3 linked regions of the Bombyx mori genome follow. The main gene of each other region encodes a partner of the protein of the gene in region 2 in a complex. Links are inferred from orthologs where the notes say so. Each region holds a gene or a part of one and is shown on either strand. Other genes may lie near its edges.

Evidence for each region. The genes of interacting proteins can lie anywhere in the genome.
Region 1: THO complex subunit 3 (region 2) and THO complex subunit 1 share a complex: the UniProt entries of both Homo sapiens proteins name them as parts of the transcription/export (TREX) complex. The link is inferred for Bombyx mori from reciprocal best matches to the Homo sapiens genes THOC3 and THOC1.
Region 3: THO complex subunit 3 (region 2) and THO complex subunit 7 homolog share a complex: the UniProt entries of both Homo sapiens proteins name them as parts of the transcription/export (TREX) complex. The link is inferred for Bombyx mori from reciprocal best matches to the Homo sapiens genes THOC3 and THOC7.

What each region holds. Positions count from the first base shown.
Region 1 is NC_085117.1:15,880,659-15,884,797, reverse strand, and holds the start of THO complex subunit 1, read left to right. Parts: upstream 1-1,339; 5' UTR 1,340-4,139. UniProt on the Homo sapiens protein: Component of the THO subcomplex of the TREX complex which is thought to couple mRNA transcription, processing and nuclear export, and which specifically associates with spliced mRNA and not with unspliced pre-mRNA.
Region 2 is NC_085132.1:2,069,957-2,072,481, forward strand, and holds the end of THO complex subunit 3, read left to right. Parts: intron 1-169; coding exon 170-331; intron 332-1,025; coding exon 1,026-1,126; intron 1,127-1,825; coding exon 1,826-1,983; 3' UTR 1,984-2,025; downstream 2,026-2,525. UniProt on the Homo sapiens protein: Component of the THO subcomplex of the TREX complex which is thought to couple mRNA transcription, processing and nuclear export, and which specifically associates with spliced mRNA and not with unspliced pre-mRNA.
Region 3 is NC_085129.1:4,007,709-4,011,116, forward strand, and holds THO complex subunit 7 homolog, read left to right. Parts: upstream 1-1,311; 5' UTR 1,312-1,774; coding exon 1,775-1,784; intron 1,785-1,858; coding exon 1,859-1,982; intron 1,983-2,358; coding exon 2,359-2,833; 3' UTR 2,834-2,908; downstream 2,909-3,408. UniProt on the Homo sapiens protein: Component of the THO subcomplex of the TREX complex which is thought to couple mRNA transcription, processing and nuclear export, and which specifically associates with spliced mRNA and not with unspliced pre-mRNA.

The DNA.
Region 1 (4,139 bases), on a different chromosome or scaffold from region 2:
TGTATCTGAATTTGTCAACGTTAAATCGAAGAAATCCCAAAAAAAGAAACAACTTGTTAATTCTTTTAAACCAAAGATCTCGGACAAACAACTTTCGTTGCGCCCGCTGCAGCAGGCTTTGGCGGGAAATCTTGCAAATAACGTAAATAAGCTTATAGTGCCTCCTCGCCAAATTGTACAGACCTCACCAGAGCCTACTTCAGCGAGTCCTTCTATGACACCATCTGAGACCCCAATGGCCGACTCTGTTTACAGAAAAAAATACACTGAACAGGATCCTGGCCCATATATGGTCCATGTTACTTTAATCTCAGATTCTAATAGTACTACATCACTGCACCCACTTAAATTTGGAAATTTTCTAAAGAAAAGCAATCTTGGTAATATATTACAGGATGGAATTAAACGAGTAGGTCGTAATCGCCTGGCAATAACTTTTAAAACACATAGTGATGCCAATATTTTCATATCCAACATGTCTATGAATCCATTGTATAATGTAGTGATTCCTACATATAATATATGTAAAATGGGTTTGATAAAGGGTATCCCTCAGGAGTGGACTCATGAGGACATTGTAGATAATCTGCAAATCCCAGAAGGCTATGGACAAATTATCAAATCCCGTAGATTAAACAGGAAGTCTGTCAACTCAGATGGAACTTCATGGATTCCTACTCAAACTGTGGTCTTGACTTTTGACGGACAGTCTCTTCCCTCTAGAGTGTATTCCTTTTTTTCAAGTATTCCAGTTGAACAGTATATTTATCCAACGGTACAATGTTTCAATTGTTGTCGCTTTGGACACACTCGTGTTCAATGCAGGAGCAAACCTAGATGTAATAAATGTGGTGGAGAGCACAGCGGACTGGCTTGTAATACTGAGACTTTTTCTTGTGTTAACTGTAGAGGTGAACATATGGCTACAAACAAATCTTGCCCTGAGTTTAGTAGACAAACAAATATTAAAAAACATATGTCTCAAAACCTCATATCATACCAAGAAGCCTCTAAATTGTTTCCTATTGTAAAGAAATCATATTCACAAATAACATCATCTATTCCACTATCTGCCCAAAGTTTAAATGATGTAGATAGTTCAAATTCTGTCTCTTACAAAAAAACTGTTATAAAGAAGCCTAAACAGGCATCTATTTTAAATAAGGGTTATGACAAATCAGAATATAAATCATTGATCCGCAGCATTTCATTTGATGAGTCTCAAGGTAAACTAGGTTCCGCTTTGCAATCCAACAAAGAAAAGGATACACAGTTGCCATCTTCTGACACACTAAATAAATTGTTATCCACACTTATAAATATTATTGCTAATTCAGAACTACCAGAACATGTTGCTCTTTCACTTATAAATAATATTTCACTATCAATTTTCAATATTTTTAAATATGGACAGAGTCCTCCAGTGGAACTGTAAAAGTATAGTTCCTAAAAAACATGAAATTATATCTTTAATTAATTCACATAATATTTTTTTACTAGCCATATCAGAAACTTGGTTAGTTCCAGGTTCCAATTTCCGTATGGCCGGTTTTAATATTCTCAGACATGATAGACATGATGGGTATGGTGGCACAGCCCTTTTAATTCGTAATAATCACAGATTTTCTTCTTTGCCAATCCCAGCTTTTAACTCGGATATTTTACAAGCAGTGGCTGCCCGAGTAGGTGAGGTAACATATCTATCTGTGTACATTTCAGAAAAGGATTTATCTGTTCTGCCTATACTAGACAAAATCATTCAATCATTACCCAAACCAATAGTAGTTCTAGGGGATTTCAACGCTCACCACTTCTTATGGGGAGCACCCAACGATGATGGCATGGGAAATGGCTTAATGGAGATAATAAATGATCATAATCTTTGTGTTCTGAATGATGGGTCCCCCACTCGTCGCCCAGTTCCGGGTCAAGCCCCAAGTTATGTTGATATTACACTTAGTTCAGCCAGTTTGTCTTCACTGTTAAACTGGGAATGTTTAACGCTGTCCTGTGGCAGTGATCATTATCCCTTATTAATTTCCTTGCCCTCTGGTAAAACAGGCACTTTTAATCCACTACCGCCGTTATTTAAGTTCAGATTAAATAACTATGATTGGGAACTGTTTAGTCAAGAAGTCGAATCGAAAATTATGTCCCTTCCAAGTTTATCTACTCTTGATGATTATAACAACATAAACAAGGCGTATGATAACCTTATTACGGCATACTTAGCAGCTGCAGATAAACATATCCCCAAAAAGAATGTTGCCCATAAGAAAATATCTTCTCCCCCATGGTGGGACAAAGAATGTACAGAAGCTGTCAATAAAAGAAATGATGCAGAAAAACTTAATAAGCAATGTTTGACCATGCATAGTTATTTATTTTATAAAAATGTTGAAGCGGCCACTAAAAGGCTTCTTCGGAAAAAGAAAAAAGAGGGATGGAAAAGATTTTGTTCCAAGCTTTCGCCTGATTCGCCATCCTCCCTAATCTGGAAAAATATAAGAATGTTTAGATCTTCTTTTATAGCCCCATCTAGAAATTATACATCGCAAGAATGGATTAATCCTTTTTTGGACAATATCGCACCCACTATGGTTCCTAAGTTTGACCAATTGCCTTATACATACTCTTATATATCAGATAACTCTAATATTAATAATAACTTAGCGTGTTCATTTTCTTTGCCGGAACTTCAATTAGTATTGAACCGGTTATCAGACTCCACTCCAGGATGTGATGGTATTCCTTACTCTTTCTTAATTAATTCAAAACCTATAACCCTATCATATTTACTGAATTTAATTAATTCTATAATAGACACTGGTATAATACCTTCTTCCTGGAAACATCAAATTATAATACCTATATTAAAGCCTAACAAAGATTCAAATAATCCTTTATCTTATAGACCTGTAGCGTTATCATCTGTTTTGGTAAAATTAGCAGAACATTTAATTAAACAAAGATTTGAGTGGTACGTAGAACATAACAATCTTTTGCCTTGCTCTCAATATGGGTTCAGAAGAGGTAAAGGTGTGTCCGATAGCCATGCCATTTTTGCAACAGACATTTTTTTGTCTTTTTCGAAATCTGAATCGGTTGTGGGAGCCTTTTTAGATATTCAAAGCGCGTATGATAATGTAAACTTAATTAAATTAAAAGAAAAAATGTCGGATTTAAAATTACCATTAAAATTTATTGATTTCATTTTTAATTTATATACTGGAAGGACTATTTCTTTACATATACCTGGTTTTGAGGACAAAATAAGAAAAGTTTGGAAAGGTATCCCTCAGGGTTCTGTTCTAAGTCCTCTATTATATGACATTTATACTTTCGATCTCCATTTAAATGTTGATCCTTCCTGTTCCATCTTACAATATGCAGATGATGTCTTAGTTTACTCTGCTAACCGTGATATTAAAATAGCAGCGGAAACTCTTAACGATTCATTAAACAAGTTATCATCCTGGCTCTCTGCCCAAAATCTTTCGTTATCTAAATCTAAAAGTCTCATAGTTGTTTTTACGCGGAAAAGAAAAGTTCCCACCGTAAATATTTCTGTTGATGGAGAACGAATACCAGTGGTTAAAGAGGCGAAATTTCTTGGTCGCATTTTTGATTCTAGTATGAACGGTAACGCTCATATCAACGACATTGTAAGAAAATGTGAGAAAAACATAAATATTATGAGAGCTGTAAGTGGCGTTTGGTGGGGGTCTCATCCTGGTGTACTTAGGTTAATGTATAATGCTTTGGTACGTAGTATATTAGACTTTGGCTCCATAACTTTTTGTCTTGAAAACAAAGAACCTCTACATAAATTAGATTTATTACAACATAAAAGTCTCAGGATCGTTATTGGAGCCATGAATAGTACTCCAATAAATGCTTTACAAATAGAATGCTCTGAACCGCCGCTATCTTTGCGTAGACAATACCTTTCTGATAGATTTATATTTAAAATTCAACAATATCATGGACACCCTTTAATTTTAAAACTACAAAATCTTTGTGAAGTTATTAATGGACGAAATGCTTTCTGGCGTAACAGGAAAATCCCTTACTTAGTTTCTAGCTATAGAAGATTTTTAGAACTACGTTGTTCAATTCATAAATTTCAATGCCACTCA
Region 2 (2,525 bases):
ACAACAATAGCGGATGTGGCCTAAAATCACAAGTGACAGCAATTTGGTCGAAATTATAAGGCGGTTGCCCAAGTAGTGGTATGTGTCAATGTAGTGGCGGATAAGTGAGTCGCCAAAGTATGTATGGTGAGAGTTTAGTAAAATAACGAAAATTAATATTTCTCTCCAGTTATCCATCTCTAGAATTGCAGACAGTACTGAAGGCGCATCCTGGTACGTGTATCTGCATCGAGCACGACCCAACCGGTAGATACTTTGCTACTGGGTCAGCCGATGCTCTGGTCTCACTATGGGATGTCAATGAACTGGCCTGCTTAAGAGTTTTCTCCAGGTATTTTTTTTTGTTCTAGTTCATTGAATGTGCTGTAAAAGATATCAAATATACACAATATTATGCCAAAATGTAAACTAATTTCACTAGTGCGGGCTATTGACCAAGCTCCAACAGTCTGCGAAATGCAAACAAACAGACAAACTTGTATTTTTAATATTACGTGAAGATGAAGAGTAAAATACTGAGACCTCTGATACTAATAAATAGACTTGGAAATGGACTTGGAAGTTGGAAATTTGCGATGAAGGATGAACGGTGGATATTACCTAAATGGTACCCAGAATACATTATTCATTTAACATGGAAACATAGCAACCGTTGCTGTGCAATTATACTGTATTCACAAGAGAGTGTTAAAAGTAATTATCCTGGGAAAAGGCAGTGTTTCATTCTTTCTCAATTACAAATACCAGCCACACAGGGAAATTTAATATTGTTGCAATTAAATGGGTGGACGAGCTGACGGCCCACCTGGTGTTGAGTGTTTACCGGACCTCTTAGACATCTACAATGTAAACGTCGCTACCCACTTCGAGACATGAGTTCTAAGACCTGTCTTTACAGTACATCAGCTGCCCCATCCTTCAAACCGAAACGCATTACTGCTTCACGGCAGAAATAGGCAGGGTGGTGGTACCTACCCGTGCGGACCTACCCGTGCAATTAGAACATCTGGTGTGCAATGTTGCAGGTTGGAGTGGCCGGTCCGGACGCTGTCGTTTAGCTTCGACGGCAGGCTGCTGGCGTCCGCGAGCGAGGACCACATCATCGACATCGGAGACACGGAGACAGGTTCGTCTATTTTATATTCATTTACGGTCAGCGGTAACGATCCACAGTTACTAACTTGACTTCACAATTTTGTTTGTGACTGTACGGGACTCCAGTACCGAAAATTAGAGGGAAAATTAGACTAGGGATAGAATAGAAACAAATTTGGGTTGTCAAAATGCTGAGATTTAAATTTGTTGAATTGAAAAGGACTTTTATTTTATATTAAATTAGTCATCAGAGTTTCGTATTAAAGATATTAAAAAGTTAATTACCTTTAGGTAAGTGCCTACTTAACAGCTAAACAGTGCCAGCCCTATCGAGCCCCCCCCCCCCCAATCTACTTTGTCCAGGCAGCGCGCCGAAGTACAGCTATAAAGAAAAGTGCATAATAATTGGCAAGGTTAGCCAGACTAAGTGACTGAAGGACTCAAAATGCCAACGCCCCAGTCAGATCTAAGATCGTATCAAGAGGACTTTGCAGCAGCGTTGCCTTCGAAGCCGCAATCCTTATCAGGGTGGGAACAATTTGAGGAGGTGAATGCGGAGCTTCGATTGCCTAAAGAGTCTTCACACGAACAGCTCCCAGAGTGAAGCAGTAAGCCTTATGATTGAGGTTAAGAGCCTCGATGAAGGATCAGGACTTTTTTGTAGTGGTACCTAACCGCGTGGACTCACAAGAGGTCCTACCACCAGTAACCCCCTGTTAACCTGTTTCAGGGGAGAAAGTAGCAGAGATCCCGGTGTCCGCGTCCACGTTCACGGTGTCGTGGCATCCCGCGCGCTACCTGCTGGCCTTCGCCTGCGAGGACAAGGAGCCGCCCGAGAGGAAACGGGATTTGGGGAATCTCAAACTGTGGGGACTCTCTAGTTCTTAGTGTTGGAAATGTAATATACAAAATAAACTAAAATACTAAAAAGGATTGTGTGGTTTTATGAAACCACGGTAAAAGTGAAACATTTACATTAGACAGTGACAAAAACAAAAACAAAATAGCGTGGAGCACTGGCACAAATGAGTAACAGTCTATACACTACACGGTCAGCTGCTGCGAACTATAGGCGCCGCCATATTGGCCTTGGCTGCTCTGACGAGCGCCTTTCACTTTATCCCTACTCCGCGGCCGACCGTCACGCGACATGCAACACACAGACGAAAAAGTTTGAGACGATGTAATAAAAGATTAAACTAAAAATTTTTTTAAACTAATGGTCCCCCGGTAGTCGAAATTTGACTATAATTAAGTCAAATTATAAGTTTGTACACTACTATGGTTCTATATCGAGTTTAATGAGGGACGGTTTTATTCTGAAATGAGCTCAAATGGTTTTTTAAGCAAACTATAGTAGAATTATTTTGTCCGTGCAGTTTGGGTAATAAAAAATCGGAGCGGTGAAGCGAGTATTTCGCTCTCTCTTC
Region 3 (3,408 bases), on a different chromosome or scaffold from region 2:
TAGTTGCATTGCCCAATTAACTACTAAATATGGAATCTTTTATTGAAATGAAATACATGATTTCTATACCTAGGTATGTAATTATTTTTTTGTTTCATCTCTTTTTTAAGTAGAAATACTTGATTATTATTTAACATTTACTTTTTTATTTAACTATCTATTCAGACAGTCATCTTTGAATTGAACATTGAAAATTTAAAGGTTAATTAGGCCAGCTACCATTCCATTTCTTGTATTAATAAAGAAAAAAGCAAAACACACAACAGAATGCACAGAGCTTTCCAACATGTCACAGCTGATACTAGCTTGAATTAAGAAATGTTTTTATACTTTATTTTGCTGACTAATAAAAAGAGTAGAGCGGGAAGTTATCCCAAAGCAAAAGAATAAGAGAAAATTATCTCGATAAATGTAACATTTTATAGTTAGATTTAAATATTGGTTACTTCCACATTTGTAGTAAGAAGATATTAAGAAAACTTAGCGCACTCACCATTGAACATAAGATAGTAATAGTACCTAGTAAGTTTAATTATTTTAGTCTTGTCTTATACTTCTTTCAATAATAGAACTGGTTTAAAAGACGATATTTTTCATGTCTTAAAATTGAATTGGAACTTACTTCGTTAGCTTCTCCAGCCCGGTACAAAGTAGGCTCGGGGTAAAGAGTACAAACAGTACTAAATACGGCACGACCAGCTGCCCCGTGATAGGAAACTGCCAGGTTGCGCTTTGTAACATTGTTGTTAATATACATTTGCCGCTCAGAAATAAGGATAACACTTGACCAAGCAGTATGCTCCTCCACACTTTCCTGAAAATGCACACTTAGTTAGTTTAAGGACGTTTACCCAAAAAATATTTTATTTATTTATTTATTGATACTAGCCATCGCCCAAGTTCCGAGAAATAAATCTCGACTTTATCACTGAAACTTGACGTTTCCATTGTTTCAGTGAAAGATATTCCGAAAGTTTACTCAGCTAATTTACTGTTAAAATAGATTCAATAGTTTAAAGGGTTTAATATAGCAGTTATTCATCATTTCCTGAACAATGGATCGAAATTCGAAAGGCAAAACAACATGTGAATTGTGGTTGTGACATCTGTTTTTTTTTCTTGTTTGGCAGGCATCTCATAATAGTCTGTGGTTTTCTTTCGTCCATTGAATGAGCAAAGGGAAAATAGCCGATCAAAATCTTTTAATTAAAATAAAAAGGTTAAGCTTTGTGTTCTTAAAATCTTAAGAATTTAATCAGCGTTCAATTAAATTTTGAGATCTCAAGAAACCACGGTCAGCAATTTTGTTTCAATCAATTTTGACAGGAATGTGAAATAGTAAAGTTGTAATACTGTGTGAATGTTTTATTTAGTTTAGTTTTCTTCATCTTTAAATATAAAAATAGTTATCGTCTTATTTATATCATTTCATTTTTTATGCAACAGATATGATTTCAGGCTTTGTCGTAAAATATTTAGATAAAAAGAAGAGCATTTTTAACTTATGAGAATGTCTCCTTTGCCTATGAGTTGGATAAAAAAAACTTTTTTTTTATTAATAATTTAACCTGCCAAAATTTGGAGATAAAATATTTTTAATTTTTCTTGATTTTTGTAAATAAAACACACAAGTTAGCACTTACATATAAAGAACAAGGATAAATTTGAATTCGCTTATGATAAGATTATTTTGTAGAATAAAAACATTACCTAACAATTTATAAGGCAAACTCGGACGAGATCATAATTTCATTTGAATTTTACTCCAAACATAATGGGTGACGGTAAATAACTTTACCTAAGAATACAAAACTACTCAAAAACAAATACTATTTCAATACTCATTGGTTATTTCCAGAAGATGTGATTCGTAGAAGACTTCTGATCGACGGTGACGGTACTGGAGACGACAGGAGACTGAATGTACTTTTAAAAACTTTGATAAAATGGTGCAATACAACGGATGACAAACCGGAAGAAAGGTTGGTTTTAATAAATAGTACCGTATTAGGACGTATTGTGAGCTCACATGCGTAAACACTGTTCCACTTCCGAATTATCATAGCTTCCGCATTGATCATAGCTTCCAATTTGAAGGGTAGAATTGCCATTGTAAATTCAATTGAAACTTCTATCTCGTGTCCCAAAGGTTCTGGTAAGCATTTAATACCAGCAGGGAAATGTTGGCATCTGTTTATCTATAATAAAGAGCCTTAATATTCAATTAAGTGTTCATTAACCTTTTCATTTATTCCCCATATACATTTGTTGTTTTATTATGAGAATAAAAATCTGCAGTCAAAATGTAAGTTTTTGTAGTTCCAGAATATGTAATACGATTAAGATTTCTCGTTTTAGTAAAGCTACTCATGATCGTATGTTAGCTCAACTGGCACAATGCGAATTTGCTGTCACAAAATCGCAACTCGGTTCTGAAATGATGGCTGCTGAATTAAAAAGCTACGAAGCACTCTCGAAAATTCTAGAAAGCGGAATAGAGGTGGCCAAAGAGAACATACAGAAGAGCAAAACAGATTTAGCACAAGCAAAGACTGTCAGAAAAAACAGAATAGAATATGATGTCTTGGCTAAGGTTATCAGTGAACAGCCTGATCGTAAGGAAACCTCTGAGAGATTGAGCACTCTGAAGACTGAACTAGCAAACTTGGAAACCACCAAACAGCAATTGGAAAGTCGGTTAGCATTACGAAAGAAACAATTTCATGTGCTTGTAACTTCAATACATCAATTACAAGCATTATTAGATGAACTAGATGATGCAGAGACTATTTGTGATGATGTTGATATGAAAGAAATATCAAATGAATCATAATAATGAGTGATGTATTAGAGTATAAGATTATTTCTCTATGTGAGATTTCTAATAAAGTATGAATTTTCTACTTGATTTTTTGTTTACATTTTCAGTACTGTAAAATGGGGAGAATTGGGACACTTTTTAAGTTCGACATTGATTTGTATAGTTTTTTTTTGTTTTAGTAATAAAACGGAGATCATAATGGTTCTGGAGGCTTAAATATTTATATACAATGCGTTACTATACATTGTTCACTACAAAAATACACAAAAACTGAAAAAAATAGCTTGACCCCATTCACCTTGGCTTTGGGGTTGAATCAGGTTACGTAGGGGCCCGCGATCTGGACGGGACCTTCAGCCCGCAATGATTGCGTGCTGTGGGTCTCGTCTGCGGGGGAGATGCTGGACTTCCACCAGGCGCGTCCGTGGGTGGCGGATCACGGGATCCTCTGGGCGACATTCCCAGAGGTATGGTCCGATCTTTTTCGTTGCGAGGATTCTTAGGTTTAGGATTAGGTTTAGATGTAGGTTAAAGTCCTAGGTTTAGGATTAGGATAGTTTAGCTAGGCTTTGCCTGGTAGATCCTTT